Solanum lycopersicum: one gene and its partner. The main gene of each other region encodes a partner of the protein of the gene in region 2 in a complex. Links are inferred from orthologs where the notes say so. Each region holds a gene or a part of one and is shown on either strand. Other genes may lie near its edges.

Region 1 (3,758 bases), on a different chromosome or scaffold from region 2:
TATAGTAATAGTAAAATAAAAGTGATAAATTGAAAATATTTCTAATGCATTTTATGATATTTCCTTTCTTTTTCCATAGTCAATATCAATTATTTTCGAGGACCACCAATAAATAATAAATAAATTAAAAAGTGTAAAATAATGTGATTAATATAACTGAAAGAAAAAATAGAAAAAAAAAAGAGAGATATATATGCCAAATTTTACGTGGCTCCTTTTAATAAATTCACCGTCCAAAAACCACCACGTGTCACATCAAAATTATCTTCTTTACTTTCTTCCAAAAATAATTTATATTTTACGTTTCGTGTACCTAAATGTAACCATAAAAAAAAAAAAAAAAAGGGACAAAATACTTCGTTTTCCATTTTCACCGGCACCTTATTCTTTATGCCACGTGTCCAATGACGAATAGTAAATTTTTTTAAAATAATAATGCCTAATTGAAGAAGAGATGACAATTAAATGAAAATATTATTATACTTTTATTTAGTCAATTAACACTATTGGAAAGTAACGTCGATAACAATAATAATATATTCAGTATTATATTATTGAGTTTTTTTTAAAAAAAATTTAGACTTTTATATCAAAGATATATGATGATTGATTAAAAAACAATAACAAATGGTTATTAAATATTATTATAATTAAATTATATAAATAAAATATAATAGAAGAGAAAAAAATAAGAGTAATATTAAGCCCCGGACAAAACAAGACAACAAGTCCATACACTCCCGAGTCTCATCTATTAACCTTTTAACATAGTTAATATCTTACACGCTTTACTATTTAGGTATACGTCTTTGATAAATTGTAATATTATCGTGTTTTGTTTAATTACTTCATAAATTACTATTTTTTCCGCCTAAGTACTCTACTTTTTTTGAATTCGTTCATAATCTAGACCTTTCATATCTCCATATCGATGCATTCGTGTATCTGCTCATCACATACTCCAGCCATCTCGATATTATTTTCCGTATCTTATTTTCCTCCGACTCTATGAAGTTAAAATCAAATCTTTCTGTTAACTTTCTCAATTTATTCGTGAATAATAATTCACGGACGTGAAGTAAGTAACTCTAAAACACCTTATCGCTCCATTACTCTTCCCATACTTGAGCTACATGAACCTTCACGCGTCTCCAAATATCCACCGTCCATTTCACGTGATCAAAAGCAATCTTAACCGTCGCCTCCGCCATCGCTCGTTCTTCGCCACGTGTAGTTACTTACACGTGTCATTAATTTAACGGTCCTATTTATCTTTATATATCTTATTATCTAGAGTTTCTATTTTTTATTTTTACTTGTATACTCTATAAATAATCCACAATTTCAACTCCTCCTTCTCCATTTTTCTCCATCAATTTGGTGAACAAAACAAAAAAAAAAATTAAAAAAATTCATCATTTTTAATCTGCAAAAAAAAAAATTAGTTATAATATTATTATTATTATGGCAATGAGTCTGCCACACCAGATCGGTGCCTTATCAGGAACATCGCTCACGGCGGAAACCGGTGGAGTTTCATGCGAAGTTCCGGCGAAGGGGAGTTCAGCTACATCAGCTATGTGGAGAACACCGATGACGAATTTAAAAGTATCGGTGCAAAAAACAGGAAATGAAATTGACAGGGTGTCGCCGTCGCCGTCGCCGCCGATGAGTCCGATGATGGGAGGAGGAATGCGACCGGATTTATCGGTAGCGTGTCAAGCGTTGATGGAGGCTCAGGTAGAGGAGGTAGTTGAGAGAGAATATAAGGTTAGGAATTCGTCGGAGAAAGAGAAAGGTGTTCCGGTGTTTGTTATGATGCCGTTGGATAGTGTGAAAACGGATCATACTGTGAATAGAAAAAAGGCGATGAATGCGAGTTTACAGGCGTTGAAAAGCGCCGGTGTGGAAGGGATTATGATGGATGTGTGGTGGGGATTGGTGGAGAGAGATGCACCGGGAGAGTATAATTGGGGCGGTTATGCTGAGCTTATGGAAATGGCGAAAAAACATGGACTCAAAGTTCAAGCTGTGATGTCTTTCCATCAATGCGGTGGTAACGTCGGTGATTCCTGCACGTATGTATATTTTCTCCGATGCTATTTTTAATTCGTTTTAACTGCAAATTTGTGATTACCAGATTCAAAATCTAGATCTGTTATAATGAATACCGTCAAATCAAACATGATATAACTCGCATCTCAAAAGCTAATTCGAGATATTTTCACATCGGATGTGGCCTGACTATCATAACATGTCAAATTAGTATTTTATCGTAGTTTAACCTCACAAAAAGCTAACTTAAAAGGGAGAAGCATTGCTCGAAACGAGTGGAGAGATATCATTCCTCGTCGAGGTGGTAAATCTCTTCAACAAATACTTTTAGATAAAAGATTCATAGGATCTGGAAAAGATTAAAGAAGAAAGTTCAAAAAAAGGTTAGTGGATAGTGAGAATATGCTCCTTTATATGTGTGCTAAATGAACTATTTAAAGTAACTATATTTTATCTGGAAAGATAAATGACTTTATAATAGATTGGAATCAACCTGAATAGCATAAAATGGAATATGGAAGATTCATGAATAATTCAATTATCTTTGTTTAATTTTCATTCGAGTTCTGTTATGCGTTTTGATTTCTACTAATCGCGATGTATAGGCGTTGCTTAAGTAGATTTTTGAAATTTCAGGATCCCTCTTCCGAGGTGGGTTGTTGAGGAGATGGAGAAGGATCCAGATCTTGCATACACAGATCAGTGGGGAAGGAGGAATTTTGAATATGTATCGCTTGGTTGCGATACACTTCCAGTTCTTAAAGGAAGGACTCCTGTTCAATGCTATTCTGATTTCATGAGAGGGTTTAGAGATAGATTTGAGAATCTCTTAGGTGATACCATTGTGGTAAGTGCTATGTTTTTTTCGAATTTTTGATCGAAGAGTAGAAGACTCACTTTTTTAATCCAAATGACGTGTGATATAGGAAATTCAAGTCGGGATGGGTCCAGCTGGTGAGCTCCGTTATCCATCCTATCCCGAAAAAGATGGAATATGGAAGTTCCCTGGAATCGGTGCTTTTCAGTGTTATGATAAGGTATAAAGCAAGTTCTGTTTTCTATGGTGTGTTTTAGTGTTTAACGTCGTCATTATTACTGATGATTTGTTCTGTTAAATGTATTGTATCGCGTTGCAGTACATGATCGGTAGCTTACAGGGTGCAGCGGAAGCATTTGGTAAGCCTGAATGGGGACACACCGGTCCAACCGATGCTGGTGAGTACAACAATTGGCCAGAAGATACAAACTTTTTCAAGAAGGAAGGTGGTGGATGGGATAGTCAATACGGGGAGTTCTTCCTCACTTGGTATTCTCAAATGCTTTTGAACCATGGCGAGAGGATACTGCAATCATCCAAGGCGATATTCGAGGACAAAGGTGTGAAGATTTCAGTTAAGATTGCAGGTATCCACTGGCACTATGGAACAAGGTCCCATGCCCCTGAGTTGACTGCTGGATACTACAACACTCGTAACCGAGATGGTTACCTTCCCATCGCCCAAATGCTTGCCCGCCACGGTGCAGTTTTCAACTTCACATGTGTTGAAATGCGTGACCACGAGCAGCCACAAGATGCACAATGTGCACCTGAGAAGTTGGTTAGGCAGGTGGCGTTAGCAACTCAGGAAGCTCAAGTTCCACTTGCTGGGGAGAATGCATTGCCACGATACGATGATTATGCTCATGAACAGATCCTTCAAGCG
Region 2 (3,758 bases):
AAACTCGCTTATATTTGTCAAATATGGTCTTGGCTCTTGGCCTCCATCAAGAAACTGTCTTCATGCTGCAATTGAAACGTAGGACAACCATACATATTCATGAGAACCACAACTGCAGGTCATTTGCAGGCTGAGTTCACCATATAAAACCATTGATGTACTTTCGTTATATATACACTCATTGTTTCTCTTTGACCTGCTACTATGATTGGTTAAAGATAGTCAGGATACTCTCAGTTCTATCAGATGGTGTGCAAACCAAAATTCTATATGGATTGGAAAATCTAGAGATGTACAAGACACGATTCTCAGTATATCAGTTGTATATACTTCATGAAATAGGAAGGGAAAAATAAATTATTTCAAGCCACAATTGCATAGCTGCACCACATCTGTACTGTATACTTCATGAAATAGAAAGGGAAAAATAGTGTATATTTAACCCACAAAAGCAAGTATAGCCTCACCACATCTGACAGAATTTCCACATCAGATTCCTTTTGTATGCACGATCCCACATACATTTGCTCAGTAATCTGGCAAAGGACACAAGCAATGTACTTCAGAACCAAGCAACAGAAGAGTAGCTTCTTGAGAATAAAACATACCACAGCAGTGGATTAAAATGGTGTTCAGCAAAATTGAAAAGCATAGAATTCCTGGAGCTGTTAACTTTATCTCAAGCAGTTGAATACTAATCATCTGAGTAAAGGAAAGGTTCTACACAGAAAAATCTGAATGTCACACCTTGTTGTAGCGCATACCAAGATCATGGTTGTAATACAGTTCTCCCTTTGAACGATCCAACGCCTTTATGTATTCTTCCAGTGGGAAATTCCCATGCGCCCATTCAGAATCTATCATGTCTTTCTCAGAAAATATGTTGATAATTGGGCTAAATGGTAACCAGGGGGTACCGTTCAGATTTCCTTGTTGCCTGATTGGATCTCCATTACTCAGAACATTCCATCCATTTAATGTTAGTAACTTTGGGGAAAATACTACAAATCCAGAGTTCCCACTGCCCTCACATGACGTTCGCAAGTTGGAGGCAAGTAAATTTTTGTTCCATGTAGCAATGGGAACACGACCTCTATTATACAGAATATCAATATCATCCATAAGATATAGCTGGTGGATAGGAAATGGAAAAGAGGGTCTCTCAAGAACCAGGCTACAAGGGCCTGCGTTCTCATTCATCATCTTCCTGCAGAAACCATAGTAAAATACAGTACACTTATTGAAACATCCCACTACTTCAGTCGGAAATGTACTCTATAGCTTAAAATTGGTATAATTTTTACGTTTCATACTCTGTATCGCCAAAGTCATTGATCTCAATAAGCCCCCCAGTTGAAGAGTCACTGGCCTTTTTCAATGTATCACCAACCATTATTATTCTTGATTTCTCAGCATTCCCCTACAAATAACACTTGCACAAACTAAGAGATTCCTTCATAACAACAAATTTCAATAGAAAATGCGAAAATCTACCAAGATCCAGGTGCGTACAATGACACAGACAAAACAGTTTGTATAAACTTGCAGTGAAGGGCTTAAGTATGACGGTAGAAACGGATAATTGCATATTGTAAAATCACAGCTATTCAAATGTAAGGATTTTAATTGCGAAAACATACTAACCCCTTTCTTAAGAGCATGAACGAACACTTTGCCATCAACAGAAAGAGCGAAGCGAATACCCAGCGGTTTTACAAGTGTAACCATATACTCATTCAAATTCATGTTGAAAGGTGAATCAGAAGATGAAGACATAGCAGAAATCGGCCGATATTGTCGTCGTTTAACTGCCGAGCTAGCTGTAAGCCGTGCATCACTGAAGCACAACTCTACTCCCCAAAATGAGGAGAAAACCACACATTTCTGCAACTTATCTGAAGAAGAAGAGAAGTTAGCATCGTTGAAAACCCTGCAATTCGGAAGTTGTAGTGAACACATTTTCAAAGAACAATGTGATTGATTGTAGAAAGAAGTAGTATAATTTGTGTGCATAAAGATGTGAGTAAGTTCTAGAGACATGGAAGAAGATGATTATATACTGAAGAAAAAGAAGAAGAAGAAATGGCGTTGATTGGAGCTAAGAGTTGAGAGGCAGAGGCCATTGCGCACATTACCCGCAAAGACACGTGCCTCTCCTCACCTTCTCTATTTGGGTGCAACCAACTTTCTGTTTCACACTATCTACAAATATCTATCAATTTTAATTCCTCTATTCCATTTACGTCGCACCTTTTTTATTACCATATTCAAATATATCAATGTAAATCTTTATTATGATTTATAATATCAATTTATAAATATATGAAGTTCATTTCAAATAAATTAAATTATTTGACTTTCAAAAAATAGAAAATTAGCCAGAGAATAGTATTATTTGGATTTGTGTTAATAAGTTTAATTAATTTGTTTTTGGTTAGAAATGCATTATCATATTATTCTTACATCTTCGTGAACAAGTGTCCAATCAAACAAATAGCTTGCAATCAATTTACAAGTCATTTTGCAAGCAAATTTCTGCAATTAAGTTAAAAATAGCTGGGCATAATATGGTTTAAACCAAAAAAATTGATCGAATCAATTTTTTTAATTTCTGTTTTGATTTTTTAGTTATTTTGATTGTTTTGGTTTTGAATTTTAATATTTCAATTTTTCTGTTTGATTTTTGGTTTTTTAAATTTAATATTTCAATTAACCAAAAACCGAAATTATATGTGTATATTTGTTATTTGTTACCCTCCCAGCCAGCCCAATAGCCCAACTTAAAATATTCTCAGCCCAACTGTCCATGCCCAACTTTCCTAATCCAATTATCCAAATTTGTATCCCTAAAATTCCATTTAAAGGGAAAATTATATAGAATGACAAACATTCCTAAGTAATTATATAATAGGTGTATAGTTTAATTTATTTACTTTTTATAATTATAATTTTTTTTTTTGCTATAATTAATGGGGTTCACCATCTATTATATAACCAATAGTATAAAAACTTTTTTTTTTAATTTTGTATATAATTTTACATAAAACAATATTATCTCTCCTATTCATATTCCACCTTTTTCTCCTACAACTAATACTTCTATCCGATTTGAATTTCAAATTGTCCAAAATTCAATTACTCCCTCCCGAAGTTGAATTCAATTTTCGTAGGTACTCCTAAATTTTAGTCGTTTTCCTTTTTTTTCCTTATTCAACAATTGTATATGTATTGTGTTTCTTATGTTTTTTCATATTTTTTGATGAAATAATCGATTGTTTGTTCTTATTAGATCTCAAATTAGTCACAGAATGAATGAATCATCTTCATCTATGAGGATTATTAGAGGTATTTCATTGCATGTCAATTTTGTTGATAATTTATCATCGTTTTCAATGGGTTAAACTCAAGATTTTGGGGTTGATGTAGGGCCTATGATAAAATCAAAACAAGTTCTACATGAACAAACAATGGAAGAATTGAGATCAAAGAAAAAATATGACCTTACGGCAGTTCAAGAAGTTATTAACAATGCTAAAGCTAGAGGCATTAAAATTGTACAAGGAGGAAGAAAGAGGAAAGCAGTAAACATTGATTCATAGGAAAATGCACGTGAAGTTGACGGATCTGAAGAACATCATAATTATGAGGTAGTGGCTTAAAACACAAATTTAGATACAATTTTTTTGTTAGTTAGATGTCAATATACAAAAAATTATTGTTTAAGTAAATTTTGTATTCACGTAATTGTATATAATATA

The links. The genes of interacting proteins can lie anywhere in the genome.
Region 1: the proteins of phosphoglucan phosphatase LSF1, chloroplastic (region 2) and BAM1 are in contact, whole or in part, in a cryo-EM structure (PDB 8J5D), measured with the Arabidopsis thaliana proteins. The link is inferred for Solanum lycopersicum from reciprocal best matches to the Arabidopsis thaliana genes LSF1 and BAM1. Residues at the interface, in NP_566139.1 of Arabidopsis thaliana: Met72, Asn73, Leu74, Glu76, Tyr77, Met78, Val79, Arg112, Ile113, Met115, Lys122, Leu131, Arg157, Phe266, Pro267, Glu270, Tyr271, Ala274, Leu275, Arg277, Ser278, Gly280; in NP_189034.1 of Arabidopsis thaliana: Glu208, Asp212, Thr235, Leu236, Pro237, Val238, Lys240, Gly241, Arg242, Thr243, Gln246, Asp250, Arg253, Tyr306, Ser309, Ser310, Lys312, Ala313, Glu316, Thr317, Tyr318, Trp362, Gln365, Met366, Asp369.

What each region holds. Positions count from the first base shown.
Region 1 is NC_090808.1:67,856,272-67,860,029, forward strand, and holds the start of BAM1 (beta-amylase), read left to right. Parts: upstream 1-1,391; 5' UTR 1,392-1,464; coding exon 1,465-2,078; intron 2,079-2,691; coding exon 2,692-2,902; intron 2,903-2,981; coding exon 2,982-3,092; intron 3,093-3,191; coding exon 3,192-3,758. UniProt on the Arabidopsis thaliana protein: Beta-amylase activity. Can use p-nitrophenyl maltopentaoside (PNPG5) as substrate only in reduced form. Can play a minor role in the starch degradation and maltose metabolism in chloroplasts during the night. More active on phosphorylated glucan.
Region 2 is NC_090811.1:31,878,947-31,882,704, reverse strand, and holds the start of phosphoglucan phosphatase LSF1, chloroplastic, read right to left. Parts: upstream 2,196-3,758; 5' UTR 2,041-2,195; coding exon 1,645-2,040; intron 1,421-1,644; coding exon 1,305-1,420; intron 1,208-1,304; coding exon 748-1,207; intron 537-747; coding exon 468-536; intron 1-467. UniProt on the Arabidopsis thaliana protein: Starch granule-associated phosphoglucan phosphatase involved in the control of starch accumulation. Participates in the regulation of the initial steps of starch degradation at the granule surface.